Schizosaccharomyces pombe: one gene and its partners. The gene in region 1 interacts genetically with each later gene. Each region holds a gene or a part of one and is shown in the gene's direction. Other genes may lie near its edges. The genes, in order: gsf2, pvg1, mbx2 and cbf11.

Region 1 (10,194 bases):
AATGACGAAACGCAAAAAAAAAAACAATAACAACAACAACCACCACAGTGAAAAAGAATATTTCCGTCGACTAGAATGAGAGTGATTTAGTGAACGACGCACAACAAACCCATTCTCTCAAAAAGTGATACATTTTGAAATGACCTTTACTAAATTAATTGGGTAAAAAGATGAAATCGGTTTGTTGAAGAAATATGCTTCCCTAGAAACAAACGTTGAAAAAGGTTGTTGTAAAGAATGCTAAGTATCCCTTGTTCATTGTGAATGTTTTCAATTGCCTATCTAAAATTCACAGACGAAATGAGAAGGAAAAAAGCCAGCCAACTGTATACGCAAGAAATGTGTGACAATTCGACAAGAGTCATAGAAAGTGGGCGGGAAACAGAAACACACAGAAAGTATGACAACTAAAACAAAAAAAAAAAGCGATTATAAAGAAAGAAAAGACTGACAGCTTGAAATTTTGAATTGAAAACCAAATCATCCTTTTAAACATAAACATAAACATAAACATTTCATTTCCTTTCCAATCCAATTCAATTCAATTCATTCCACTCCACTCCACTCCACTCCAATCCTTTTCAACCCCCAGCTTTCATCGCTTCCCTCTTAAAATCGGTTTTTTCTCCAACTCCATCATTCATGAGAATAACGACAACGCACTCCACCTTAATACCGGTCTCTGAACATTCAACATCCATCCCCTTGGAGCAAGGGAGAGGGAGAGGGAAAGAGAAAGTGGGAGTCAGCAACATTTCCTAATACTTTCCTTATTGAATGATTGTAAAGCGGGGAGAGATTAAGATGATAGATTCACAATAGTTAGGGGAGAAAAGTAGAAAGAAACAAATGATACTCTCAACCACTTTTTTTCCTTTCCAACAGAGAATAAGAGAAAACAAGAGAAATTGAATATGAAACCATATTAAAATTATGGGAAGGTTAACAAACTTTCCACATGCCATAAAACATTAGATGAAACGATAAAACCTTGACTTGTTTAGAAAGTCACGCACGATAGGCATAGAGTTTGTAAATAGAAGTAAAAGTAGCAAGCGGAAAATTAGAAAATAGAAAACAGAAATAGAATTAAAAAAGTGGAAAAAATAATATAGAAATAGAATTAACAAGTGGGACACAAGTATCAAAGTAAAAAATAAAATATAAATAGAAATAAAGAATCAAATTACCATCTTGTATATCTTCTTCTCTTTAATTATGCTTAACGACGACCTCGCTAATCGTAGAAACCTCTTGTTTTGAAAAGGTGAATAACGAAGCGGAATGGAGTCACAATGTTCTCCTTCTTCATATGATGCCATAAATAAACAAGGAAGCGAAATTTAAAAGCCGCAATTGGACAATGTGTTTGACATCATCCTTCCACTCAACGAACAGATAACATCATGTCATGACGTATAAGCTTTAGTGTTTTTGTATTTGAGAAACAAACATTGGTCAAGGATTACCGAAAATTTAAAGGGTTGATTTACCGAAATCATGACGTATTCCATTCAATTTCAGCACGAGGAAGAGGTAAAGAACATCAAGTAACGGAGACCCTATGTAAATAAAGAAAGCATGGAAGAACAAATAAAGGTAAGGAACAATAAAATGTCTAAGAAAAAAAAGAAACAAATACGACTTCTCTTCGAAAAAAAACAACAACAACAACAATTAACGATTGCTCTTTTCTTTACATATATATATTTTTTTATCGTAATTTGATTGCCTTGTTTTCCATGGGAACCCGAGTGTATGAATATTGGTGAATTCGTATGTACACATAAAACTTTACTGTGTGAAAACAAATAATGAATTAAAAAAAAAGAAAAGAAAAGCATCTGATTCAGCCACCTCTTTTTTATCTAATTTCCCTTCTACAGTTTATGAAAATTGGATGCATAATCGAAATTGCCCTCTTGCCTTGTCGGACCGATGGTTATTTACTAATAGTATATAAGCCTACCCCTTTTGCTTAACGAAGCATTTTACGAGTCGTAAAGTTGAAATTAGCGAAAAGTTTCGCAGCACATAAATTGACAATTCCACAGAAAAAAAAAATGTTTGAAAGAGAGAGAGTGTGTGTGATTCAGGATTCTCTTTTTTTATTCTTTTTTATTTTTGGGGGTAAGGTATTCTACAATACACGAAGAAGACTTTTTTTAAAATGTCCATCTAAAAATAGAGAAACTTAGAAGACAATCGAAGAAAATAAGATCCCCTTTGATCACTGAATGCACTACACTACACTGCACTAATTCCGTTTATGAATGCCGTTTAGTACGGCAGGAGCGGGTTACTGCTAAAAATAAATAACGACGGCTACTAAGAATAGAAAGTAAAGTGGGTGTGCTATCCGATGTTGGTTATTTACAGAAATAGACGAGAAACACAAGAAGCTGCTTACAAACAAAAAGTATTTGTTGTGTGAATGGTGGATGAAAATAGAAAGGTTCTTGTTTTAACTTCTTCTCATATCTTTTAAACGAATAATTAATGAGTGTTTCTTTATTCGTGAGTCTATATTCTCGGGTTTCCTTCTCAAACTTTCATCCAAAATAGCTAGTTCTATAAAAATAACCATTTCAACATGTGCCTAGGCATTGCCGGCTTTACCATCCATGATGGCTAAGCCAAACTAGCTTTAATCACAACCAGAGCAAAAAGTACACACTGACCGAAAATAGTACATACTGACCTGACTGTTTAGTGAAGTAGAGCGTAGCATGTACACAGTAGCAAAAAGGATATAGTACGTTGGCTTTGACGTTTGGAAAAGAAGCAAAAGAATTCATTTCATTCTAAAAAGATTTCCATATATTTTATGTAATTTTTCTCGTAATTATCAAGGCTTTCGTTCATTTCTTGTCCTTGTTTTTCCGATCCAATTTGCTTAAAAAAAAAAAAAAAAAAAAAAAAACTCATTCCGATTCACTATATTACTTAAGAATGCAGTATATATAATTAGCGTAGAGTAATGAGAGTTGCAAAAATTACCACCATTCTACGGGACCAGATTGACAACACCTGGTGAGCGCCGCCATGCATTCTGCCTCCAAGGCAAGCTGGACTATAAGCCGGCAGAGGTTTGACATACTTGTAATTTTATGAATTGGACATATAGAAGTAAATGCAAGTATTTTTATCCGAGGAGAACGCTAGTTGGAGGGAGAAGATGAAACAATAGTGGTGATAACAAAAAAAACAAAAACAATTGCCAAAAATTGTAGGAAAAGAAATTGGAAAAGGACGCGTAAAAAGTCATTCAAATCAGTAGAAACTTTCCAATGCGCGAATGGACATCCATCCATAATATTGAAAGGTTATTTTTCGTTTACAATCGTCGCAATTCAAATAGACGCGAAAAAATAGCAACTGAACGCTGCCACCTTAAAATTGAACTAAAAAATTTCAATTATAAATGCTTTGATCACTAAGCAAACATTGAAAATCTAACGACTTAGACGTTGCATAACTAATGAATTGACATTGCATGAACTACTACTACATCCTTCTAAACACCGCCTTTCTCGCTACCACAACCCCATCTCTACTACACTTCCACTCACTTACTCATCATTCTTCATAGTCGCACTTTTTCATTTCTCTCCTGTCATCTCCACAAATTAAATCTTAATCTCTTGTTTCACTAGCTTCTTAATTGCAATTAAAATTGCGCTTGCTACATCCTCTACACTACTCCTGTAATCAGCCTTCTTTTCTTCTCTTTCTTTAGCATACTCGGTCTCGTTATTCCATATATCGAAATTTTCTTCTTCGCTCGACCTCGATATTCTTAGGAACCAGCACAGAATGCAAAAGTGGATCCTTACCTCCATGTTCCCGAGATAGAGATTATTCCCTAGCCGAAATTAGAATTTGCGAAGAGGTTTTATGTTATCGCGGGGTCTTCCACATAGGTGACAACGATTTTTTAAATTCGAATTCAAAATGTTTCTCTAAAAAAAGAAAAACTTGCAAAAACGGGGAACATTTGAGAAAAGGGTCATCGGGGTACAGAGAGAGGGGTATAGAAAAAGTCGCAAAGGAAAAATTCCGTAAATATTCATTGCTAAAATTTCACACAGATTGGTTTGGGTGTAGTTATTTATAAATATGGCCGCATCTACTTAAGAAAGTTATTTCGCTCCTACATTGAAGGCGAGTGGTCGAGTGTTCGTCAATCAGTCATCAATTGAACATCCAAAACATTCTTAACGAGATTAAGATCGTTGACTTTCTTCTATAAAAGCAAAGCATCGAGAAAGATTCGAACATTGCAAAAAAAAAGGATTACCTATTCCATATACACCATCTGTCTCTCTCTTTTTGTTGAGGTTGCTAGAGTTTGGTTATTGGAACTTTCTTTTTTTTGTTGTATCATCATTTGTTTCCTTCCTTCCATCTTTATTTTGGGAAAGCGACTTGATCTCTCTTCGCTGCACGAATCTGTGATAACAATATCTTCACTCATTCTTTTCGCCAGCATCCAATTTTGTTTTTTTTTTGAGAAACAAATCTGCTCTTGTACATATTCTACATTCTTTTGAATTACAAGTGGGTATTTTACATTCATTTGAATAATTTAAAATAAATCTGGCTAGCATTTATTTTTTAATATTCTCCCCTTTTTTCTTTACATCCCCCATTCTATCGTCTAGGATTTCGGGTTGAAATTGGGTTTTAAGTTGTCCTACATTTACACAAAATAAACACTGGGTAATTTCGTGTTTGGGTTGGTTTGGTAATACAGCTTGCGAATCTCCTTTCATCCAGTTATTTTTTATTTATATATATTATTTCTTTCATTAATCTTTTCGCAATTTTGCATTCATTTAAACCCTCTTTTCTTCATTCTCTGTTGAAACTACGAGCTTTATTCATTTGGGATTCACTATTTTTCTAATTGAATTTCTATCATATTATCAATAAACGCGCTCTGCACACCAATCGTCAAGCATTGGATTTAATTTTGTTTTTGATAATATTTAATTTTTTTATTCGTTTGGTTAAATTATCTTAATAATTTTGTTTTTTTCTAATTCACTTACCCGTTTTTGAATATATCAACAATGTCTGTTAGAAGGTTTTTATCCACATCTGCTCGGGCATTACTTTTCACGGCTGCTCTTCTTCCCTCCTTGACTTCTGGTCTACCTTCTGGAAATGTCAGGATTTTGCAAAAGGGAATGGAACCTGAAGATTACCTTTCCTCTGCATCACAAAATGAAGTGCCTCACGATATTTCACTTCCAAAGACCGAGCTTGCGGATCCAAATTTCCTAGTTGACGATATGCCAACCTTACTTGGCAGAGACGCTGCTGTTGATCCTAGCATGTTTACTAGCACCTTCACAGTAAAAAATGGAAATGATGCTAACTACATTACTGCTAGTCCCGTTAGCAACGACGCTTCCATGACTGCTATTAGCACTTTTACCTCAGGGAAAGAAGCTTCTTATGCAATTCAAGCAAGCCCATCTACCTTTCTTCCTGATTCGACTACCACTTCAGGTTCACAAGTTTCAAATGCTGTTGAAGCGAGCTCAACTTTTGTAGCTGATACGACTAGCACCTCATGCAACCCAGCAACGGTTTTAATTGTAACCACATCTGGTTCAACAAGTACTAGTTGTCCCCCTCCAACAACAATTCTTATTGTTACAGTCCCTACCACAACCACAACAACTACTGTTGGATATCCTGGATCCGTCACTACTACCTTGACTGGAACTCCTAGCAATGGTACTGTTATTGATACTGTTGAGGTTCCCACTACTACTAACTATGGTTACACCACTATTACCACTGGTTATACTGGATCCACTACTCTTACCACTACTGTTCCTCACAGTGGTAATGAGACTGGACCTACTACAGTTTATGTGGAGACTCCTTATCCCACAACTGTCACTACCACCACTACTGTTGGATATCCTGGATCCGTCACTACTACTTTGACTGGAGCTCCTAGCAATGGTACTGTTATTGATACTGTTGAGGTTCCCACTACTACTAACTATGGTTACACCACTGTTACCACTGGTTATACTGGATCCACTACTCTTACCACTACTGTTCCTCACAGTGGTAATGAGACTGGACCTACTACAGTTTATGTGGAGACTCCTTATCCCACAACTGTCACTACCACCACTACTGTTGGATATCCTGGATCCGTCACTACTACTTTGACTGGAGCTCCTAGCAATGGTACTGTTATTGATACTGTTGAGGTTCCCACTACTACTAACTATGGTTACACCACTGTTACCACTGGTTATACTGGATCCACTACTCTTACCACTACTGTTCCTCACAGTGGTAATGAGACTGGACCTACTACAGTTTATGTGGAGACTCCTTATCCCACAACTGTCACTACCACCACTACTGTTGGATATCCTGGATCCGTCACTACTACTTTGACTGGAGCTCCTAGCAATGGTACTGTTATTGATACTGTTGAGATTCCCACTACTACTAACTATGGTTACACCACTATTACCACTGGTTATACTGGATCCACTACTCTTACCACTACTGTTCCTCACAGTGGTAATGAGACTGGACCTACTACAGTTTATGTGGAGACTCCTTATCCCACAACTGTCACTACCACCACTACTGTTGGATATCCTGGATCCGTCACTACTACTTTGACTGGAGCTCCTAGCAATGGTACTGTTATTGATACTGTTGAGGTTCCCACTACTACTAACTATGGTTACACCACTATTACCACTGGTTATACTGGATCCACTACTCTTACCACTACTGTTCCTCACAGTGGTAATGAGACTGGACCTACTACAGTTTATGTGGAGACTCCTTATCCCACAACTGTCACTACCACCACTACTGTTGGATATCCTGGATCCGTCACTACTACTTTGACTGGAGCTCCTAGCAATGGTACTGTTATTGATACTGTTGAGGTTCCCACTACTACTAACTATGGTTACACCACTGTTACCACTGGTTATACTGGATCCACTACTCTTACCACTACTGTTCCTCACAGTGGTAATGAGACTGGACCTACTACAGTTTATGTGGAGACTCCTTATCCCACAACTGTCACTACCACCACTACTGTTGGATATTCTGGTTCGGTAACTACTACTTTGACTGGTAGCGGTAGCAATAGCATTGTTACTGAAACTGTTGATGTCCCTACCACTACTAGTGTTAATTATGGTTATACTACTATTACGACTGGCTGGACTGGATCAACCACGCTTACTTCTATTGTTACTCACAGTGGAAGTGAGACTGGTCCCACTACAGTTTATATCGAAACTCCCAGTGTTTCGGCTACTACTACCACTACTACCATTGGATATTCCGGATCTCTTACAACTACATTGACCGGTTCCTCTGGCCCTGTTGTTACCAACACAGTTGAGATTCCTTATGGAAACTCTTCGTATATCATTCCTACAACCATTGTTACTGGCACCGTTACTACTGTGACAACTGGTTATACTGGTACTGAGACTTCTACTGTTACAGTTATTCCTACTGGAACCACTGGAACCACTACAGTTGTTATTCAAACGCCTACCACAGTGACTGCAACTGAAACCGACATTGTTACTGTTACAACTGGTTACACTGGAACTGAGACATCTACTGTCACAGTTACTCCTACTGGAACCTCTACCGGAACCACTACAGTTGTTATTCAAACGCCTACCACAGTGACTGCAACTGAAACCGACATTGTTACTGTTACAACTGGTTACACTGGAACTGAGACATCTACTGTCACAGTTACTCCTACTGGAACCTCCACTGGAACCACTACAGTTGTTATTCAAACACCTACCACAGTGACTGCGACTGAAACCGACATTGTTACTGTTACAACTGGTTACACTGGAACCGAGACATCTACTGTCACAGTTACTCCTACTGGAACCTCCACTGGAACCACTACAGTTGTTATTCAAACACCTACCACAGTGACTGCGACTGAAACCGACATTGTTACTGTTACAACTGGTTACACTGGAACCGAGACATCTACTGTCACAGTTACTCCTACTGGAACCTCCACTGGAACCACTACAGTTGTTATTCAAACACCTACCACAGTGACTGCGACTGAAACCGACATTGTTACTGTTACAACTGGTTACACTGGAACCGAGACATCTACTGTCACAGTTACTCCTACTGGAACCTCCACTGGAACCACTACAGTTGTTATTCAAACACCTACCACAGTGACTGCGACTGAAACCGACATTGTTACTGTTACAACTGGTTACACTGGAACCGAGACATCTACTGTCACAGTTACTCCTACTGGAACCTCCACTGGAACCACTACAGTTGTTATTCAAACACCTACCACAGTGACTGCGACTGAAACCGACATTGTTACTGTTACAACTGGTTACACTGGAACCGAGACATCTACTGTCACAGTTACTCCTACTGGAACTGCTACTGGAACCACTACGGTTGTCATTAATACTCCTACAACTACTGGTTCTGAGGTCCTTCCCACTACTGGTGCTACTGGAACTGCTGGTACTGAGACTCAACTCACTACTGCTACCGAGGTTCAACCTACTACTGGTGCTACTGGCACTGCTGGTACTGAGACTCAAGTCACTACTGGTACTGAAACCCAAGCTACTACTGCTACTGAGACTCAAGCTACTACTGCCACTGAGGTTCAAACTACTACTGGTGCTACTGGAACTGCTGGTACCGAGACTCAAGCTACTACTGCTACTGAGGTTCAACCTACTACTGGTGCTACTGGAACTGCTGGTACTGAGACTCAAGTCACTACTGCTACCGAGGTTCAACCTACTACTGGTGCTACTGGCACTGCTGGTACTGAGACTCAAGTCACTACTGGTACTGAAACCCAAGCTACTACTGCTACTGAGACTCAAGCTACTACTGCCACTGAGGTTCAAACTACTACTGGTGCTACTGGAACTGCTGGTACCGAGACTCAAGCTACTACTGCTACTGAGGTTCAACCTACTACTGGTGCTACTGGAACTGCTGGTACTGAGACTCAAGTCACTACTGCTACCGAGGTTCAACCTACTACTGGTGCTACTGGCACTGCTGGTACTGAGACTCAAGTCACTACTGGTACTGAAACCCAAGCTACTACTGCTACTGAGACTCAAGCTACTACTGCCACTGAGGTTCAAACTACTACTGGTGCTACTGGAACTGCTGGTACTGAGACTCAAGTCACTACTGCTACTGAGGTTCAACCTACTACTGCTGTTACTGAGACTTCTTCAAGTGGATATTACACTACTATTGTATCTTCTACTGTGGTTAGCACTGTCGTTCCTGGCTCAACCGTGTATCCTGTCACTCATGTTACTACGACTACTGGAGTATCCGGAGAATCTAGTGCTTTTACTTACACTACTTCCTCTACCCAGTACGAGCCTAGCACTGTTGTTACCACTAGTTATTATACTACTAGTGTTTACACTTCAGCTCCTGCTACCGAAACTGTTTCTTCTACCGAAGCACCTGAAAGCAGTACTGTTACTAGCAATCCTATTTATCAAGGATCTGGTACATCTACTTGGTCTACCGTTCGTCAATGGAACGGTTCAGCTACCTATAACTATACCTACTACACGACGGGTGGTTTCACAGGCGGTAACAACACCAACGTTACTGGCTTATACCCATCCTCCGCTGGAGCTAATAAGCCAATTGCCTATTTGACGTTTGTCTCTTTGTTTGTATATATTGTTACTCTAATTTAAACAAACGATCATGAGGTGTTAATGTTTTTAGAATAAATGGAATTAAACTAGTTATCTTATAATAACAAATTATCATTTAAAGATATTCTATTGTTGTTTTCAGAATAACAGCATAAGTAGAAAAAAGGTGCTAATGTAAAAATAGTGAATGAGTGACAAGTTAATGTAAATGAATTCAAAGCAATAAGTGTGCGTATTTTTAGTGTAGCATTAAAAAGTACAGCATGCATAGTGTATAATGAAGGAATACGATAAAACGCATAGTGTAAAAGAGTGAGATGTGATAAAAGAGCGAGTTTGTCTAGTCACATGTACTACAAAGGTAAGGCGGCGTAGCGGGAACAGTAAAAAAATTGTGCAGCTTAGACAAATTCAGTAAAGCGAATTGTGCGTCAGCAATATAGCACTACACTATATAATTTACTAC
Region 2 (7,028 bases), on another chromosome or scaffold:
CATACAATGTAATTAAAACAGCCATGACGCTGCCTTCAAATACCGCTAATGATGCTATACCGGCTACCAAATTCCAACATACGTAAACAAATGAATATGTAAAATTGTTGAAACAAATGAAATGAATGACTTCTTCAAATATTATAAATAGAGGTGCTTTTCCTCTTCTTCAAACCACTTTTCTCCAGCTTGTGAATTCTATTCTATTTACAGTGTAACAAAAAAAAACACTTTTCTCTTTTAAAAACTTGGCAAATCCCACTACAATTTATTTATTGTATTTTTGCTAGATTTTCTCTTTTTTATATATTTATATACGACTTACAATTTGTCTCGTCCTTTTATTAAAAGCTTTTTTTTTGCTACAATTTAAAAGGCTGCGTTTGATTGTATATTTTTGACGATTACGATTTTTCACATTTACAAATATTTTAATCTTTTTTTTTTCAACTCTCCATTTTCTTCAACGAAACAAAACTTCTCTATTCTAAAATTTCTATATCATGATGCAAAACATTAAAGACGAAGCTTACAAAACCTACCAAAACGTCAAGGACGAAATTTCTTCCCATCTTCCACAATCCGCTCCCGAACCCACTGGCCCTCCTTTTAAGTGCGCTATCTTTGGATGCGGTGGTATTAATTTTGGTACTGCTGAGGGTCCTTGGAATAATTCCCAAAAGCTTGAACTCGTTCTTGGTCATCGTTTACAAGTTGTTGCTCTCTTGTCCCCTCACAAGAGTTCCCACGAACGTGTCCTTAAGCAAAAGGCTGAGACTGAGTACGCCTCTTCTTATGCCAACACTCGTGAATTTTATTCTGCCGATGAATACCTCGAATACTTAGACAGCCACCCCGAGGAGAAGCCCGATGCCTACATTATTGGCATTCCTCCTGAGACCCATGGCTCTACCCAAAAGGGAGCCGATTTGGAATTGGCCATCCTCAAGCGATTCCCTGATGCCTCTCTTTTCATCGAAAAACCAATTTCTGCCGCTCCCGTCGAGGATGCTTTTGCTGTCGCCCGTCGTTTGCCCTCTGAATCCGTTATCTCTGTCGGCTACATGCTTCGTTATTTGAAGACAGTTCAAAAGGCCAAGGAGATAATCAAGGAAAAGAACTTGAAGGTTGTCAGTACTGTAGCCAAGTACAACTCTGCCTACATTCACAACTCGAAGAAGTTCTGGTGGATCATGTCTGAGTCTGGTGGTCCAGTCGTCGAGCAAGGTACCCACTTTTGTGATCTCTCTCGCTACTTTGGTGGTGATGTTGAGATTGATAGTATCAAGGTCAACCGTGTTGAGTGGGATGACCCTAGCGGCAAATTAAATGCTATGCCAGTTGATGAGAAGACAATTCCTCCAGAGGAGCGTATTCCCCGCTTTACCGCTGCCTCATGGAAGTACAAGGACGGTGGTGTTGGTGCTTTTACTCACAACATTACTCTTCAAGGTGCCAAGTATGATACTTGCATTGAAGTTCAGGCTGATGGTTACTACCTTCGTATCGTTGATCTTTATGAAGAGCCCGTCTTGTATGTTCGCTCTCCTGATTCGGACGAAGAAAAGGTTTACAAATACCCCAATGATGACCCATACTACAGTGAGTTCAAGATCTTCTTGGATGCTGCTGAAGGTAAGGGTGACAAGAACCTTATCCATTCCGACTTTTTGGATGCCGTCAAGACCTATGAGCTTACCAAGGCCATCACTGAAGCCAAGTAGGTGTTTTATTTTTTTGGGACGGTGATTTCCAAGTTTGCAAGAGAAAAAGAAATCAAGTTTATGTCAATTTTGCATATAAAATGTTTGTTTGTTTAAGGAAATATGTATGGTATATGGATACTCTAAATAGTTTAGTCATGCCTTGAAAAGATACCCATGATGATTTGGTATAATGTTGATTATGATTTTATTACAATGGGTGCCGCAGAACGCGGATTAGAATGAATAAATAATTTTTTTTTTGTTTGCATAGATTATGCGGGAAGGGAATTAAAGTGTATGTAGGAAATACGGATGTAAACAAGAGTGATCAACAAATAAATAAGTATCGAGGGAAAAGATTTCAAAGTGGAACATTTTGTTTTTAGCCAAATTAATTTAGTAGCAAAAAAGCTAACAAACATGTTGTAAACACAAAGTGTCAAAGTAATCTTGATCATTCAATAAGTACAGGCTAGTTAATTCTAGTAATAGCAAGCGTAATTTGCGTCTACCATATCTCCAAAATCAAACAACAACAACTTTCTCAGCAATTTTCATACTCAGGGCATGATTTTGCTTTGAGAATTTTTCTCCTTCCCACTACTGTGCTCCTCACCGTATCCCAACACAGGTTGATATGCCTACCACCTTTGTACGCAGGCATGGTTTGCTTTAACCCCTGCAAATTGCAAGCTCAACCTGCCATGCCAAATTGTAAACAAGTACCCAACACAGTAGAGAAAACAAAGCATTCAGGCACGTACTTATGATTGTAAAAGAGACTCTTTCTTTGTTTATTGTCTGGTCATTGTTTACAATTGACACTTACGAGCCCAACAAAGGCGCTCCTACCATTTTCTTAGCTGACATGTAAACAGCAAACTTTATGGTCGGAGTGGACATTGTCTGAGTTTAAAAGATGACGGGGCGTATAACTTGAGGCGGAGTTTTCGGCAAAAGCCTTCCGGGGTGCACCTAACAATGAATATTCTATCCAGGTAATTTATTGAAAAATCTCTCGATAAAATTATTTTTGTAAACATTGAGAAAGGAGCAAAGACTTTACATATTCTCATAAAAAATTTCATATTTGATATGAGAATATAACGTAAAGAGTCTATGTGCGTTAACCTCCTCTATTATCGTTGGGATGGAAAGTTTTTCACCTTCTATCAGATCTGATCATCGGAAACGCAAACGCCTCGGAAAATCGCAATTAGATGTAAGCTGTAACGTGAAATAAAAATGTCAAAATTGAAGCCCGGCCACCAGTAAAAGAAGAAAGTGTGGTGTAAATTACTTCTAGAGTCATACTAGCTCGGCTTTACGAATTGAAAAGTTTGGTGATAGCACACGGTATTCGAAATTACCCTTTGCGTCCTAGCATTTAGAGGTTGCCTTTAACCAAACACTACACCAAACGGTGCTGCGAAGATTCCTTCTCCTAATTTATAATACACTTGGTTAAATAATTGGTAAGTGTTATTATTTGGTGTAATTTGACTACATTGAAATTTTTTGTCGATCAAATGCTAATTTTTTTTTTTCTAAATTTAGTTTGATAATCATTATCCTATCCAACTTAATACTCACACCTCGCTAATTATTGTTCCGGGATTATCGAATTTAATTTCTCCTGTCATTAAAAATTTTTACGACGATAGACGTGTGTCGTTCTTTTATTCTATCGTTTTTCTTCCTTTCTTTTTTTTTCTCAACTCAAAATGTTCGCAAACATTAATATTCGAAAGTCCGTGTGGCTTTTTCTCCTTGCTGCCGTGTCTTGCACGCTGTTTATCTACGGCGTGACACGCACCGACTTGCAAACTTTGAAGAACCCTAGTAGTCTAACTTCTCCTTCCTCGTCTACTTCGGTTGACAAGAAAAAGCCCCTTTTCACCAAATCACCCAGAAATAGTGCTTCCTGTGAATCCACCATCACTCTGCAATCCAACTTACTCTTCACTTATTACAAGCATTACTTTGCAGGCATCAAGAAGGTTGCGCTCATTGGGTTTCCTGACCACCCCAACAAGGGTGATAGTGCAATCTATGTTGCTGAGAAAAAGCTTTTGGATGCTTTGAATATTGAGGTTGTCTACATTACTGCTCAAGAGGCTGACTACTCTGCTTCTGAGTTGAAGTCGATCATCTCTGATATCCCCAGAGATGAGTTCGCACTTGCTTTCCACGGCGGTGGTAACTTTGGCGATTTATATCCTGACCATCAGCATTTACGTGAACTTGTCGTGCGAGATTTCCCTTCCTTCACCACCATATCCTTCCCTCAATCTGTCTGGTATAATGAACAACAACTTCTCGAACAGGCCTCTATTTTGTATGCCGAAAATCCTAATATCACTTTGGTCACTCGTGATAGGCAAAGCTATGGTTTTGCCGTTGATGCTTTTGGCAAGCATAATGAAGTTCTTCTTACCCCCGATATCGTCTTCTTCATGGGCCCCATCCCTGAGATTCGCGAGGCTACTCCCATCACTCATGATGTGTTGATTCTTGCTCGTCTCGATCACGAGGGTGGTCAGCAACATGGTGCTGAAGACTATTATCGCGATACTTTGAATGCCGCTAACTTGACCTACAGCGTTGAGGATTGGCTCTTGTGGGATCCTCCTGTTGCTCAAAATCCCGATTCTTCCTTTGATGATAGAGGCCAAGCTCGTTACGAAGCTGGTGCGGAATTCCTTGCCTCTGCTCGCGTCGTCATTACTGATCGTCTCCATGCTCACATCCTTAGCACTTTAATGGGTATTCCTCATATCGTCGTTGAAAACTCCCAAATGGGAAAAATTACTAACTATCATAATACCTGGCTACATGGTTGCACATTGGATGGTGTCAGTGTAGTCGTTGATTCCGTTGACAAGGCTTTGTCTTTGCTTCTCGAGTGGAATGAGGCCGGCTACTTTTAATTCGCATCATGAAATATAATTCTTTAGCATTTTTAACTCTTATTAATTCTCATTTGTTCCTCCTTTTATTTCGCAAAAGGAGCTTATCTATCAATCAGCAAACTAAAAGTCTAAATGGAAATAGGTCAATGGATTTACCAATCACTTGCCTCTTCTTTTAGGCTTTCTATTTTATAATTATTTGTTTTCTCTATAGCCTGGCTGTACGTTATCTATGCTTGCACGATCAGCTTGTTTTTAAACCGACCGTGCATAAAGAATGCAAATGGTGGAATAGGGTTCTCAACTTTTTTTTCCAATTTTACTTGCTAAATTTACTTTGTTTTATTAGCTATTTGTTTTATTTTACAGTTATTTTTTTACTTATCTATTGAGCTGAGTAAACTTGGTTCTTATACTTATTTTAATACGCTCTCTATTTACCCAGAAATTATTCAGAGAGAAATAAATTTATTTTCATTTTATTAAAGTTTACTTAATTAAGTTACCATAATGTTGAATATTTTTTTTGTACAACTTTGCTTGTGTTGGTATTAGACAAAATACTTCGTCCTTGAATGTGAACCGAAAGTAATTGAGTATTCACCGAATACTGAAACCATTTCATTTCCTCAACGTTTTATTTTGGTTCCCCACAAGAGAATTATTAAACTTCATCGCTAATTGAATTTGCTTTTTTAATTACCTTACCACCTTACTTTAGCACGAATTCTAATATCCTCAAAAAAGAAGTTCAGGAATCATGGCCGATAATGATTTCGAGGGATTTGGAATTTTTGAAGAACCTGAAGGGTTTCGACCTTCTACTCCTCCTCCTAAAGAAGTTTTACACACACGAGTTATAGTGCCGAATGGGTATGATTTAAAACCACTCACAGGCTAGACAGATAGCTTTTTTTTATAAACAATATATAGAGGTTAGTATATTAACATCGTTATGTATAATAGACCAGAAGAAATCAAGTTGCGATTGGTAGGGAGTCATTCATTATGGGCACATTATCTCTGGAACAGCGGCATTGAATTAGCCAACTATATTGACAAAAACCCTGACACTGTACGTGCAAAAAAGGTACTTGAACTTGGAGCTGGAGCTGGTCTTCCTTCCATTGTTTCTGCTTTTGACGGAGCAAAATTTGTAGTTTCGACTGATTACCCTGATCCTGCTTTAATCGATAACCTTGAGCATAATGTTAAGCAATATGCTGAAATAGCCAGTAAAATTTCTGCAGTGGGATATCTCTGGGGTTCTAACATAAAAGAAGTCATGTCGAATGCTGGTTTTAAAGACAATGAGGTGTTTGATATTTTACTGCTTTCTGATTTAGTTTTCAACCATACTGAGCATTCAAAGCTGATAAAATCTTGCAAAATGGCTATTGAAGGTAATCCAAACGCTGTAGTCTACGTTTTCTTTACCCATCACCGTCCACATCTGGCTAAAAAAGATATGATCTTCTTCGACATCGCTCAAAGTGAGGGTTTTCAGATTGAAAAGATTTTAGAAGAAAAAAGAACCCCTATGTTTGAAGAGGACCCTGGCGCTCCTGAAATACGTGCTACGGTTCACGGGTATAAAATGACTATTCCTATCCCGGTTTAGGCTGCAAATTTGCAAGCGCTCAGTAAAAAATAACATATTCATCACTTGGAAAGATTTAAGGTTCTATCTGAGCAAAAAAAAAAATAAATCCCTCTTTTGAGCATACGCTTCTTTCGTTACAAATTGGGGTCATCTTTTAAAACTATTGTCATCATTCAAATACCCTTTGCCAATTGTTTGGGTTTCAAAAAAGTAGCAATTGGTATGTTGATATTTGTTTTCGCTTTTTTTTTCAACTTTTGTGAATATTCGCGAATGGATTATTGGTTTAGCTGGGTTTCATTGCCTTGCTTGTCAAATACTGAATAAAAATCAATTTTTTTGCTTTCAAGGGCGTTTTACTTCCTTTTCTTTTTCCGCTTTATATCTTAAATATTTTTGTATTTTCATGTTTGTCTTAGGTTGTCGTCATAAATTTTCGAAAAATATATTAAAAATGATCAGATTTTCTATCCTAATCACACTTTTCGGTGTAATCAAAATTTGTTTCTTTTCATTGTACCGGTTTTGTTTACTTGAAATTTCCTTTTAGCGGTCAGATACTATGGAAGTTGGCTTTTTCAGAGACAACTTAGTTAACAGTCGACTTAATGTAATACAGTCATTTTTACAACGTTTTTAGAAAAAAATAGCTTTTGTAGGTTTGATCCCTCTATCACAATGATTCTAGTGTTCGCATATATAGTCAGTCCACTTACACCATTCACCATCATCTACCCGTTTATTCGAAATTAGTTTTGTACCGATTGTTTTGGTAAGTTTATTTCTTTAAGAAGAAGTATTTCATAT
Region 3 (6,922 bases), on another chromosome or scaffold:
CCGAAAAAAAGTAATCCGTACTTAACATTCGAAAATTTCGTTAGTCATTTTGTCTTGAAGCTGGGAGTATTCTGCACATTCCATTTAATATGGGGGGTTTTGGTTTGAAGCTCGGTTCTACCGATGTTTAGACGGGCCGATAATGCGAAGAAAAAATAATGATGTTTTCCGTTAAAACTGTTTTCAGATATCAACAAAAAAAATGTTTTCTGACAGAAAACAAAGAATCTGTTAAGAGATAAAGCCATACTTTTGGTAGACCATGTAAGACGGGGTATGTAATACGGGGTAGTACGAATAGATGTAAGACAAAGCTGTGCATAATTCGATTTGTCGCTTACACGGGTATATATGGACAAACATCATATAGTGCACAAAATAAACAAATGTGTGTTTTCTTATACATGGAGCCACGGAAAGTTCCGAGACAGATGCCCTTTTACGGGCTTCAAGTACCGATACGGCAAAAGTCCATAATCAAAGTCCTTTATGTCCCACTAGCTTGATTAAGCTAATTCGGCATACCCCAGGTAAGGAGGAAGAAAGGAAGGAAGGACAAGGTAAGCAGTCGCTGCACACGTCAATTTCGTGAGTCAGCACTACTGAGGCTGTCCATTAAAACAAAGGTAAAGGGACGGCGGACAGAGATGGATTGTGGCGATGATGTTTTTTGATTTCCAAAATTCTCACTGTTTCCATGAGTCATGGCATGCATTCACATCATCGTTGACTCTCCTCTCTACTCACTGACTAACAGTTTAAAACATGTTGCCCCAATCGTAACACTTAACGACCGATTAAAAATGATGAGAATTTGTCAAGTTCATCGTTCAACCCTAGTTTCCCCCAATTCCTTCCCGTACTCCTAAGCAATCATGTAGAGAGGTAGATGAGAAACATCGAATGGTTTGCCTTTTCGTAACAAGTGCTGAAAATGATAGGCGGATGCAGTGTTAGCACGAGTGTAGACGACTTTGAATGAGTGGTATAAGCAATAACGAGGCTCAAGTCAATATTCAGCCTCCTCGCGAATGGTTGCGCACGTAAACTATATCGCAACGAAAGTATGTCAGTCGCCAGATAGGACTACTCCTAAAGTCTAATCCAAACTACTTCGTCTAGCTATACTAAAGTATAAGCAGGTCGTAACGGTCGATTCATTGCGAAATCAAATTACTCATAAGCTACCTCTCTGGTTATTTTTTCCCAATGTACTGTATTCGTATTGTACCCCATTCTTACCGGATACATTTATTAATAGAGCAAGTTACGAAAAGCAAAATCAGAGCGAGTCTATTTTCGGACTTGTGTGTCTAAGTATAGTCAAGGAGCGGAGACAACACTCGTAATATTGTTCCTTCACGCCCTCCTCCCCCTTTCCCCTTTGAATTGAGTATCGTACACTGCATCAGTAATAGGGTCAGCGTTTCCAATTGACTGACTGGTTGAAAAGTGAAGGATTACATACGAAAATCCCTAAACGCGATCATCAGCGCATTCCGAATTTTCGTATCTTTCTATCTCTTCGATTCTTTCTTTAGCCTTGCCAAGTATTTTGGCTGGCCCATACGCTTTGCCTGACTATCGCGTCTAAAAATAAAATCCCCTTTCCAAAACCTTGGATTAGGTGCATGGGATTACTATGATTCTTTCCTAATAATTGCTAATCCCGCTTTCTTTCTATTTTTTTCTACTATTACTGCAAAGTCAGGTTTGCAATCCAAGTGGACTTTAACCATACTCAAAAGGTACCTTCTAACCTTCTTTCCATTATGTCCATCTTCCTCCTCCAATTAAAGGATTTTCCTACTTAGGGCTCATTTAATCGAGGCTATCCCACCTTTTTCATGAAAAAGTATTCGGCCTTGTGACCTCCCCTTTTCGAAAAGAGAGATGAAGAAATAGTTTAAATTACCCGAGTAGCCGAAACGGTGAATTTTCAGAATGTCTACATGAGGAACATAATGTACACTTATACGCGTTTGTATATTGAGAATTCATCGGTAATGTTGGCAAAGTGCTACGCATCTTCGGATAAACGTGAATGGAAGACATTTAGCCCCTAATTTTGGTGTACTTATGCAGGAAAAACCTATCCCTTAACAATTGCCTATGGAGGGAAAGAGAAAATTTTTTTCGTTCACTATTGGAATTTATTTTCTTTTGCATAAATATGTACAATGGTATGTTACGATGCTGGCGTCGATACTTGTCTAAGTTAGAACGCAGTGTGTATTACGAAGGTTGCATTAAATAGACGTTGCGGTTTCCTAGTTATTGCTATCCCTGTATATATATACACATATATATGTACAAAAACACGTATTTACACGCACTTATAAACGCACACAGACAACAAACAAATACCTAATTTTATAATTTCAAGTTGTTGAGACAGATTAATTTATTTATAAAACTTGGCGAGAAGATATTTTTAAACCTGACATTGAAAAGGAGGGGACAATTGTTAAAAATATAGCTTCAAAGGCAAAAATTTCTCCAAAGTGTTGATTCTTCCTCTTTCTATTTTAAAAATAGCACACAAAAACATCTAGTCATTTAATTTGTCTTTGTTCCTCTCATTTGTAAACACTTGAAAACCACCCGTTCCGGCTATCTTGTTTACTAAAAAAATTTTTTCTATTAATATCTTTAGTTTCGTCGCCCGCTTCAACCCAGAGTACAAAAACAAAAATAGCTTCCTCGTTTTTAAATCTCAACTTAGATTCGTCTAATCGACTATCAATTACGAGCACAATTGGAGAACTTTGCGCTCTTGTTTTCTCAAGCGAAAAATCTACCCTCAAGAGATCCGGTGCAGAGAAGGGAAGACAGGGATAAAAACTGTTACATAAATTCCAAGAATAAACCCCATCTGCTGTTTTCTATTTGTTCCTTATATACTTGCCCGTTTGCTCGCTCGTTTGCTCGTTTGTTTTCGTCATTCTCCCTATACCTGAATTTTGGTTAACCTCGTCGACTCTTTTTCTCTTTTCTCGTCAAACCTTACTAAATATATACAACGTCTAATATGGGGCGCAAAAAAATCTCCATTGCACCCATAACCGACGATCGTTCAAGGAGCGTAACTTTTGTCAAACGAAAACAAGGTCTCTACAAAAAGGCGTATGAACTCGCTGTGCTAGCCGATTGTGAAGTCGCCGTCACAGTCATTGATCGGAAAGGACGTTTGCACGTCTTTTGTTCCTCTGACTATCAACGTACTCTTCAACAACTCAACACTCTCAGCATATATGAGTTAAAAAACCGTTCTCATTTTTCGTCATCGCCTGTCGAAGAGTCAAGTACCGTGTCTCCAGAAACGACAACTGGTTCATTTACTCCTCTTAATAATAAGCATTTGAAGTCACAGGACCAACCTTTATCAGACTCCCAACTCGACACTGGTGATTCTCCTGCAACATCGGAAACGACTGTTCAGGACTATAATCCTCAAGTTCAGTCTTACTGTCGTCCCGAGCCTTTATCGTCTAATCACGTTCGTTCTTGTCCTCCATTTCCTCCCACACAACATCATCATCCCCATACTCGTCCTCCTCATCATCCACCTCATCCTCATTTTCATAACAATAACTATCCACCGCCCTATTGTTTCCAATCTCCTGTGTCTCCGGGTGCTACAGTTCCATTGCAACATCATTCTCCGTACCCTAGTGATAACGGCTTTCCTGGTCATCGTAGGCAAACGCACTTCGCTCCTTACTACTATCCACAAAGAGCTACGTCTCCTTCTTTGAAACAAGTTCCAACTTATCTGGGTACTCATGTACTGCAACAAGACCAGTCCACCTATGATCAGAAGGTCCTTATGCCTCCAGCAAGTTATCTTTCTTCACCTAATCAATACACCTTAAAAAATGTCTCTCCTGGTAACCCGGCTTGCCCTCCTTTTCTCTATGAACATCCAAATCCACAGCTAACGCCTGAGATGTTTGATGTTAAACAAGGCTCACCTATTCCGCCTACTGCGTATTCGGGTAGCAGTTGTGAGACTTCTCAACATACCATTGCGAATACTCCATTTTTGGCATATGATCGCTCTCCTTCCTTAACGAATCAAGAAGCTGAATCATCCTTCCAAGACGTAGCTTCCATTAGTCCACATTCACTCAGTGATGTCAAATACTAAAGAATATCATAGAAGTCAATCTCCCTTTCAAATGTCTTCATCATGTGTCCTCCCTGGATCTAATGAATCGTATACAAGTAATAATTTTAGTTGGCATACATCTCGATCAAATCCTTACAATCGTTTTCTTACTCAAACTGCATATGATTTGGAGCAATCCAAGCACCAATAGTTTACTGCCAAGCTGTGCGATGCCCATTTTTTTAATTTGACTTACATCGCATTCCAGTAAACAATTGTTAATACTAGGTCTATCAATTTATCGTTATAGTTGAATTACGCGAACGAAATTACTGACCTAGCAATAATTGAAGTTTGGAATGTTGTTCAATAAAATGGACACCTACCGATAGCTTATGGATTCAATGTGAACTACAAACCTAGCATGATTTCAGACGCTAGCAAATACAAATACCTGAACATTTCAGATGTGCCAATGGTTTAACTTTGTTAACTTCCATCTTCGGTATTTTGGATCCTCCCTGTTATGAATTCAAGATGGTGATTTTCGGTTTAAATATTTATTTGCAAACTGCGGGCAGTTTATCACTTATTTATTCAGGCACGCATTTTGTCTATTCAAGTGGACTAAGTTTTTTCGTGATTTTGTTTTAACCACCTCCTTCCACTTCATTAATTAATTCACCAACATGTAACATTCGCGGACCAACCTTTATGTTCGCATTCAAATTTTTTTTTGGAGCCGCTAATTTCTAATTAGACGTTTCTCATTCGTTTTCAAGGTTATACATGGTTTATTTTCGTGTGTTTGACTCGATTTTTTGCTAGATTTTTCACGGTTTCTCCTTTTTAATCAAGAACGTTTGACGATTCACAGAACCTTTTTCAAACCCCTAATTACAGTTTTCAACAATAACATGAGAAATTCGAACTTTCCGTGTAGTTTTACAGAGTAATGTTTAAGTGTTTGTTAGTATGTCGGTGTGTAAGTGTAGCGTAGCGATAACCGTCCAGCTTCAAAGGTAAGATGCAGGGGAGTAATGCAGCAGCTAATTTTATATGGCGGAATGAGCATGGTAGCACTCTTCAAAGAAGGTGGAATAGGAATTTGGCTTCATGCGAAATTATGTTAACAGAAACCTGAGTTTCTGTAACATATTATTATATACGTGGCTTAGGACATCCAAACAAATAAATGAAATTCTTTAGTATAAGAAGATGAAGAAGATATAAAAGATTACCAATGTTATGCAAACGATGGAACATGAATCAACCGCATAAAACTCAGTCGCTGTATCAAAAATGACCATCGTGGGATGCTGACATAGGCAATCAAGTTTCTCACTTCAAATAAATTAGAGACTGATTTGGCAAATATTTGAGAATTGATCCTCTATTTGACAAATCATTTTAACTTATTTTATGACAGACAAGTCTGTTTGTATTTTGGGAATAAAACCTCGCATTATCCAATTAAAACGTCTGTTGCGACCACCGGCTTAACTTAGAACAATTATAAAGACTTCCAGAACAAACAAAAGTAATAAATTGTCGTAAAGCGACAATTATGCAAACTTTTTACCCTGTGGGATAATTACCAAAAAGATGATCACAAGTAACGTAAGGCTATGTCTTTCAGGTACAAAACAACTGACGAAAGGTGATAAAAGTATTAAGTAGAGGCATCTGGATGCTGGGAAAACAAATTGGAAATTTCGTAGGGCAGTTTAACATTATTTAATGGGAACGAAAATAGAAAATAAAATATTGCAAAAAGAATGGCGTGGGTCTTACTAAAAGACGCAAATTAGGGATATAAGGCAATTAAACTGCAAATTTAATGCGAATAAAAACAATAGACAACGGCTTAGCAAGTGAATTTACAATACTCGGATTTAGATTTTGCGCGAAAAAGTAAATGCATTGGTCAACAGGAATGCAACCAATGCAAAAAGAATTGTCGCAACCTTGTTAAAAAAACAGAAATGTTTGTTAGACAGTTACAAAGATAGCGATAATCGAGACCAAAGTGTTCCTAAAAATTCCGATCGGAAAGTCAGTAAATCTCGCATAAGGTGGTGCAACTTTGCTGCATACAAGAAACTAGCAGCCCCTGGCCATTTCAGCTTTTTCAATTTGCTTAGAGCACAACACTAAGCAAAGAATCTCTTTCTTTTATAATAGCACAACTCCCAAATGATTATCACTTTTTCTAAAACAAATTAATTGGATACTTCTAAAGTATCCAATTGTAATAAGAAGTCTCAGAATAATCCAACAAATCATTTCAAATATCAGGACGCAGAAGCGAGCATGTAGAGAATATTATTCCATCTCAATACTCGTTTAAAAGGCAAGCGATTCAAAAGAATGGTAAGGGTAGTGGATGTTTGCATGCTGATTTGGAAGGGCTGCGGATATCCATGAGAATAAGCATCGTCTAATCTTTATAGGTATAGCAGGAAAAAGATGAACTTCTTATGAACGGTTAGCACAGAGAACGAGGGAGCGAATTTTTGATTTAAGTGATACAATGCAAGTAGTCTATAAATTTGGTCCTTTTTTAGAACTCCGATTGTCTCAAAGAGTGTAAATATACACGCGAAAACTGAAAAGGTCCGACTAAATTTTCGCAGCCTTCTCGGCTTCTTTTAACACATGGAAAGCAATTTTTTGCTTTTTATTGTTCAACAAAACCTTTTTGATCATTATATCATTTCAATTGTCTCAAATAGAATTATAGGAATCAGAGCAAGCACTAGAAAAGTCGAGTACCAATTTTTTCTAGCTTTCAAGAGCTTTCCCTCCATC
Region 4 (6,871 bases), 630 kb from region 1:
ACGACCACGCAACCTCGCGGTCATAAATCGGCTCATTTTAGGTTTTTCATTTCCATTCTCATCCAAAGGTATAACTGCCTGTTCTTCTTCATCCTTAATATATTCACCTGTATTATCTATCATTTTTTTTCTCAGTTCGTAGTAACGTTGTGATATAGCTCGTTGATCACTAATTTCCTCGACTTTCGCATCGAATGCTTCTTTAGACTCGCTAATTTTGTCAGATGGAGTTCGTTCAACTACAAAATCTTTTACTACAGATGGTTCATTTAAATATTCCTTGGAAGTTTCCGAGCTTTTTTCTTTAGGCGGTGCTTTAAGCTCGGATTCTACAGTAGATTTGTCTTCTTCTTTTGGATTTAACTTTGTATTCGCAGCCCGATTATTTAATGTGTTACTCAAATCATCGTTCTTGATTGTACATGTGGCATTAGAATGGTTGCCCTCTTCGTTTTCCTTTGCGCGCAATTTGCTCCTTGCTTTACGAAACGCTGAAATACGACTCTGAAAATCGTCTGGTCCAAAAAGATTATCGTATTCTTCAGTTGGAGCAGGTATAACTTCAATATTCGCCTTTCCACTCCGACTGACGTGTTTAATTTCCAGCGTGTCTGAAAAATGTACCTTTCGAGGATTTTTTGACGAAAGCTCTTCTTGTTCAACGATTTGTGGAAAGTCACTGACATTTAGGCTCTCGTCATTACCATTGACATAAGTTGTAGCACCAGTCTTTTCTGTAAAATATTGAGGATCCGGTGGAGCTTTCAGTTCCTTGGAAAATCCTATCGTCATACCATGTTCATCTTCCTCAGACTCAGAATTATCATCTAATTCGCCTTCCTCCTCCATTTCCTGAATGAGAGCCTCCATATCTTCTAAAGAGTCTAAACCGTCGTATTGTACTGCTTCCAAAACATTTTGTCCTTGCGCAGTCGTCGGAACTGGTAGTAACATCGGTTCTTCTTCGACAATTTTATTGTCGGCATTATCTGGTTCTTCTATACTACTACTTCTAGTTTCGTTTATAGAATGAATAGATTCATTTCCTAGTGAAAGCTTTTCACTAGATGTAGCATGATCTTTGTTGCCAGATTTTTTTGTTTCTAGCTTAGCTTGTTTAAATTTTGAAAGACGCTTAGGTCGTTTTTTATGTTTAGACGTGCTAGTGTTATTATCTTTATTAGATTCCCCAGTATCTTGGGCCTTCGCTGTCGGATGCTCTAACACAATGTCTCGTAAAACTTCATTTTGGGTATCTTGATGTCCATTTTCATTTAAAGTAGAGTTATTGAGAGCATTCAATATCGTTTCTTTATTTTTTTCAATAGCAGAAGCGTTTGACTTTATATTTGAAGTAGTTCTGTTTTGCATTGCATTATTTTTTTTGAAAAGAAAACCCTTTTTAAACAAAGAAGTCTTGCTACCATTTTTAATTTGTTGAACCATATCTGAATCACTCAATGAAGCAGCCTGACTATTACTAATAGGACTCTCATATGTTTTACTGTCTGAATGATCACCATGTTTGCTGGGAAATTCTGAGACACCAAGTGTTGGAGTTGAAGTAAATTCAGTATTAGAAGGTAATGAGCCCATTTCTGGAGCTTTGTAGTTAATATTTTTCGTAGAATCGTTAATTTCTTCTTCAGATAGCTCTTCAATTCTCGAAGATGTATCACGGTTCCCCCCATTTTCAATATTTTTGAAACCAGGAAGGGATCGAAAGACATCCGCATAATCTATTACAGATGAAATTCTTTGTGGAGCAACAGAAGCACTTATAATATTTCCATCTTTATCAACTTCTTCATGAATATCCATAACAGGTAACCCTTCTGAGTTTCTTACTATCAACTCGGATTTCTTCTTTTCAATTGAAGATGCTAAGTCATTATTGTAATTTCCCAAAAGTAAATGAATATGATTTAAGACTGGATTTTCATTAGCAATTAGTCGTTTGATGAAGCAAACATTATCACTCAATTTATAAGAAAAAGTAACGTACAATCCACATGGGATGCTGTTTCACATCCTTCAACTTTTCCATCTTCCTTACAGTAACGGATCGCCCTACCGACTGATTCAGAAATTTCGCTAATCTTAGAGAAGATTTGCTGTTCAAAATTGATGGCTACTAGTCTTTCGTCGTTCATTCGATAAGTTGTTTTAAAGGATCTTAAATAGAGTTATTGAAGAATTTCTAATTCAAAATAATCTCACGCCAACGATCGTTTCGTGGTTATTCCGGAAAAAGGCATATACAGCTTATTCGGGCAAGCTAATATTCACTTTAAAAACGAGATAATAAGTAATTCTAATAAATTTTAAATACTTTTAGTATTTAAATAACAGGGTAACTAATATAATATCGAAAAATCGATGTTAATGGAAATGGCTCAAACTGAGTAGGAAGCCACCGACCTGACCCTAATGTACGTAGAAAGCGCCATACTGCAAATGTCCTAAGCATCTAGTAATTTGGTCCCTTACTTTAAATTTTAATATTTTCTCACTGAAAATAATTTAAGTAAAAGCAAATGCATGTCTTAATCCTATAGGTCCAACAGTTTAAGCAAGTATAAAACATAATTTGAACATTAATGGGGGACTATTTTGCCTGGGATTTTGCAAATATCTCTGGGAGTAATACTTCTGGCTCCTTAAATTTAAATCAGTTGAACTGTAAGCGCTAGCAATGATGGTTGAGTTATAAATCATTCTGAACATCCCAAGCGTAAAATAGCTAACGGATTTTTCTAGTGGACAACATAAATAATGGTTTGCATAATCAGGAGGATGGAGCTGGAGGAAGGAATGAAAATTCTGAAAGAGTTGGAAGCGGGAGTCCTGGAAGTGTTTCCATGCAGGTTTTGTCTCTCTTCAGTGCTGTAAACTCAGCTTTGGCTACTTTGGAAAAATCAGAGGAATTCCCTTCTGTAGTTAAGGATGAACAGTCAATTTTTCCTGCTGTAGCAAAGGCGTCTAATTCGTTGGACGAGCTGGCCCAAAACATAATTCCTGCTCCTTCTCCTCCTGGGTTTAATAGAAAAAGAAAAACCTTTGATGAAGACAGTTCTGTAGAGATGATCCGAAGAGCCATATCAGATCATTTGGATTTACTGAACAATTGTTGTATTGGCATTGCTAATTTGAATGAGGACAGTGTGCACAAAATTTCACTTACACGTTCAGGGAAACCTAGTCAGCTGGTAACAGTTTCGTGTCGACATTCCTCTGTCATACAAAAGTCTTATGGGTCAGAGAAACGTTACCTATGTCCACCCCCTATGGTTTATATTAATGGGAATTACTCTTCTATATTCAATCAGTCTTTTCGCACTGAGATATCAATAATGAATGATTTTGGGCAATGTTCGCAACCCATCAGCGAAGAATACACTGGCCAAGGATGTATGATTTTTCGGTCACTGCATATATCGAGTTTGGTCGCTGCGAAATCTAAAAACTTACGGCTTTCTCTGGACATGTTCTCGAATGTAAATAACCAATTGTTATCTCATTTGGTTACTTCTTCTATTAGTATTGTCTCCAAACCTTCGAAAAAAGGAAGCAAACTAAAAATTAGTAATATTACGTTGCGATCCGGTTCAGTCGTCAGCCTTTATAACCGGATTAATTCACAAACTGTACGTACAAAGTATACATCGATTGAGGCTGGTCAGTTTTGTCTTCGCGGTGATAGATGGGTGCCATTGCGTATTAACCTGCTATTACCAGATGAAAATGGTAAACTGAAGGTATGCGACGATGTCGATAACCCAGAACCCATTAAATATGGCTCCATCGTTGAATTGGTCGATGAAGCAACAGGAACGACGAGTGACCCTTTAATTATTCGACGAGTAGAAAAAGACCACATTGCTGAGGAGGACGGTTACGTTAATCAAATGCATAGAATTGTATTAGAAAGCGCATATCCCATATCAAACGTACGGCATCTTAAGATCGCTGAGCATAGTTCACTGGCATATTCCAATAATATTTCAGTCCGTTGGTTTCTTGGGGCCACGTCGGCACAAAACAGAAATGCATCTAGTGAGGCTATATTGCCCATAGAATGGGAAGCTGTTGGAAACTTGAGTTCAAATGAAATGACTCGAGTTGGAGATTCTGTATGCTGGACTATAGTGGGCATATCACATTTTGACTGTACGATGATGTTACCATTCAATCAAAATCCTGTACCAACGGTTACTGATTATCCATATATTGAAGAGCCACCCGAATATTTGGAGAGCTCGCGCTCATTACAATTTAAAATTGGAGGCTATTCGGTCGGATTACAAATTTGGCTAGGTGTTCATGGACCATTGTCGTATAGTTTTACCGCAGCTGCTGATACGAGTACAATGGGTACGGTCACTCTAGGTCTGTCGCAAATTTCATATGATCCTTCTTGTGCAGAACAAAAGTATCCTTTGTTGTTCGTGATTCCAGGTGGGATTGTCATTATTGGAAAATGCGAGATTTTGCTAACGTCAAGTGCTTTTGGAAACTGATGCATCATGATTAATTTTACGTGTGGTTTCATATGGCGAAATATTGAAATACAATTTGTTTTCAAAATGATGGAATTAGGTTGAAATCTCTCTTATTAAATGAACTTTATATTGTACAAACATCCTAGCTTATGGAAACTCTAACATATAGAAAGCAGCGGAAGCTTTTGATAAGATAATTGAATCGTCGAAAATATGTACTTAATAATTATGATTTTCAAAAGCTGCAAAACAGAAAAACTTTTAATAAACTAGTAAGGTGTCTGTCGAGAGCTGTCGATCATATATTATGTGGACCGTAATCGTTTCTCCTCGGGAGGAGTTGCTGTATCCACTTCCAAATTTAAATATCTTTTATCTGCTTCTCTTAAAATTTTACTATAGCAAATTCCTTCAACTTTTGAAATGCTGTTCTCCATTACTGATAATTTCTGCTGTAATTCTGACTTGACCTTAGATGGTAAGTGTTCAATTTCTGAGCAGTTTTTGTGTAGTCCACGAAGAAATTTAACTTGCTGAGTGAGTTGTTGGACAGAGAACTTAGAGCCGTTGGTTACAAGGAATCTCATTATTTCACCAGTCATGTCACAAACACCGAGTACATAGTCGATGAAATTAATAGAAATTCTAAAGCTACTATCTTTACAAGAAAGTAACGTACCTGTTTGTAACCAGAATTTGAAAGTGACAGCTTCAACATACTCTTGAAGGCCGTGTGTACAAGCAGAAGAGAACTTGTCTGCATTTAATCCAGCCAACTCTCTCTTCAGACTTTCTAGTTCTTTGTGAATTTTTTTTTCAAAAATGGATGTTCTGTCGAAATCCTTGGGTAGAGGAAATCCATCAGAAGAGGATGTTTGATGTAAAAGAAAGATCATTCGTTTACTTTGAATTGTGATTTCACGAGAAAGACGAATAATTTTCTCCCTCTTATCTTGATCCTCCTGTAAAAAATTTTTAAATGAGAGGAATTCCTCTTCCATATTTGGCAAATTCGGTTAAAGTTTTATAATATCCTCAATTCAGCAAAGCCGTGTGGAAGGTATAAATGTATAAGTCTATATTATCAATTGAATTAAATGCAAATCAAGATGACTATTTGTTGTTTAAGAGACGAAATATTGTTTAGTGGATCATTGAGTAAGGTTAGTTGGCTCTGTGCTATGAAATTGAAATAGTGATTTGAGCTGCAGCAGGACAATCGACCATGTATGGAATGAAGAGAAAATATTGTTAATAAAGATCGGTTAATAGGAATAATGAATTTTTTTGGTTATTTAAATTTACTGTGGACTAAAGCCATTTGCTTCTGACAATAAAATCTTGAACATGTGAAAATAATAAATATATAAAGAAAGAAATTTGAGCTTTGCTTGAACAATTCTGAAAATAACTACCCAAGTTTTTTGTCATTTCCACGTGTTATTTAGTTATATTTCTTAAAAAGAGTCCCGTCCTTTTTATATTTACAACATCATTAGTATTTAAAATAAATCTTAGCCTACTTAAAATCCAAGGCGCAAATGATTGTTTATCACAGCATAAATTCTTGCAATTAACGAAAGAGTGTACATTCATCAATCAATCATTTTACTAAATAACAATGCCGATGAAAACAGACTCAATACTGCTTAATTACTCAAATACATTACCAGGATTGCCCAGTTAAAGAGTATGTAGAGAAAGATATTATTCCTACTCAGCGTTGGCACAAAATTCATTGTGTTAAATGCTTTATTTACAAAGCTGTAATTGCTGATAAAAAGTGTCACAAACCGGGATCGAACCGATGACCAACAGATCTTCAGTCTGTCATGCTCCCAACTACACCATTGCGACTAGTTGTTATCCATAGTCATTATAGATCTAAATAAATTGTATTCTTAATAATGGTTTTATAATATATTTTTCAAATGCAGTATTGACAAATACATATCCTTGTCATTCACAGATTATACATTTGTAAATACTTCCTATGTACTTAATCAACCTTATTTAATTTACACAATGCTTTAGAAGTCGCATACAATCTCCATCGATTATATATTTTATAAAACGATTTTCCTTATGTATTTTAAACATGTTTATCATTACATTACTAGAGTAACACAAATATTTTTTCTATTCCAAAAAAGCTTCTGCGGGTATAATTTTAAGCATATGGAATATTGTGAGTTGACAAAAGGAGACGGGATAAATTCAGGTGTAAAAAAACATTTATTCGTAAATCACAAGTCGAATAATAGTAAAACAAAAGGATTTATGTTTTGGCGGAATGGGAATTAAGACTATGTTTTTTAATGAATGGGATGTGTAAATATGCAGTATCTCAATTCACAAACTATTATGAA

What was found.
Region 2: of gsf2 (region 1) and pvg1, changing one enhances a phenotype caused by changing the other (phenotypic enhancement), as found in Schizosaccharomyces pombe (one study listed by BioGRID).
Region 3: of gsf2 (region 1) and mbx2, changing one suppresses a phenotype caused by changing the other (phenotypic suppression), as found in Schizosaccharomyces pombe (2 studies listed by BioGRID).
Region 4: of gsf2 (region 1) and cbf11, changing one suppresses a phenotype caused by changing the other (phenotypic suppression), as found in Schizosaccharomyces pombe (one study listed by BioGRID).

What each region holds. Positions count from the first base shown.
Region 1 is NC_003421.2:958,854-969,047, reverse strand, and holds gsf2 (protein Gsf2), read left to right. Parts: upstream 1-3,035; 5' UTR 3,036-5,075; coding exon 5,076-9,767; 3' UTR 9,768-9,849; downstream 9,850-10,194. UniProt on the Schizosaccharomyces pombe protein: Galactose-specific adhesion protein essential for non-sexual flocculation and filamentous growth. Required for adhesion and filamentous growth through recognition of galactose residues on cell surface glycoconjugates. Induces flocculation when overexpressed.
Region 2 is NC_003424.3:2,867,728-2,874,755, reverse strand, and holds pvg1 (Golgi pyruvyl transferase Pvg1), read left to right. Parts: upstream 1-3,108; 5' UTR 3,109-3,181; intron 3,182-3,263; 5' UTR 3,264-3,430; coding exon 3,431-4,636; 3' UTR 4,637-5,112; downstream 5,113-7,028. Other genes in the region: SPOM_SPACUNK4.17 (NAD-binding dehydrogenase family protein), read left to right, coding at 504-1,724; nicotinamide N-methyltransferase Nnt1, read left to right, coding at 5,379-5,491, 5,585-6,239.
Region 3 is NC_003423.3:3,623,608-3,630,529, forward strand, and holds mbx2 (MADS-box transcription factor), read left to right. Parts: upstream 1-3,031; coding exon 3,032-4,150; 3' UTR 4,151-5,051; downstream 5,052-6,922. Other genes in the region: SPOM_SPBP8B7.32 (uncharacterized protein), read left to right, coding at 6,770-6,922. UniProt on the Schizosaccharomyces pombe protein: Acts in transcription regulation. May bind to a MEF2-like typee II promoter sequence.
Region 4 is NC_003421.2:324,942-331,812, forward strand, and holds cbf11 (DNA-binding transcription factor, CBF1/Su(H)/LAG-1 family Cbf11), read left to right. Parts: upstream 1-2,436; 5' UTR 2,437-2,600; coding exon 2,601-2,682; intron 2,683-2,760; coding exon 2,761-4,520; 3' UTR 4,521-4,807; coding exon of another isoform or gene 4,808-5,503; 3' UTR 5,504-5,791; downstream 5,792-6,871. Other genes in the region: uri1 (prefoldin-like protein), read right to left, coding at 1-1,931, 2,006-2,153; tfx1 (translin family protein), read right to left, coding at 4,808-5,503. UniProt on the Schizosaccharomyces pombe protein: Transcription factor that behaves as a negative regulator of adhesion. Recognizes specifically the canonical CSL response element GTGA/GGAA.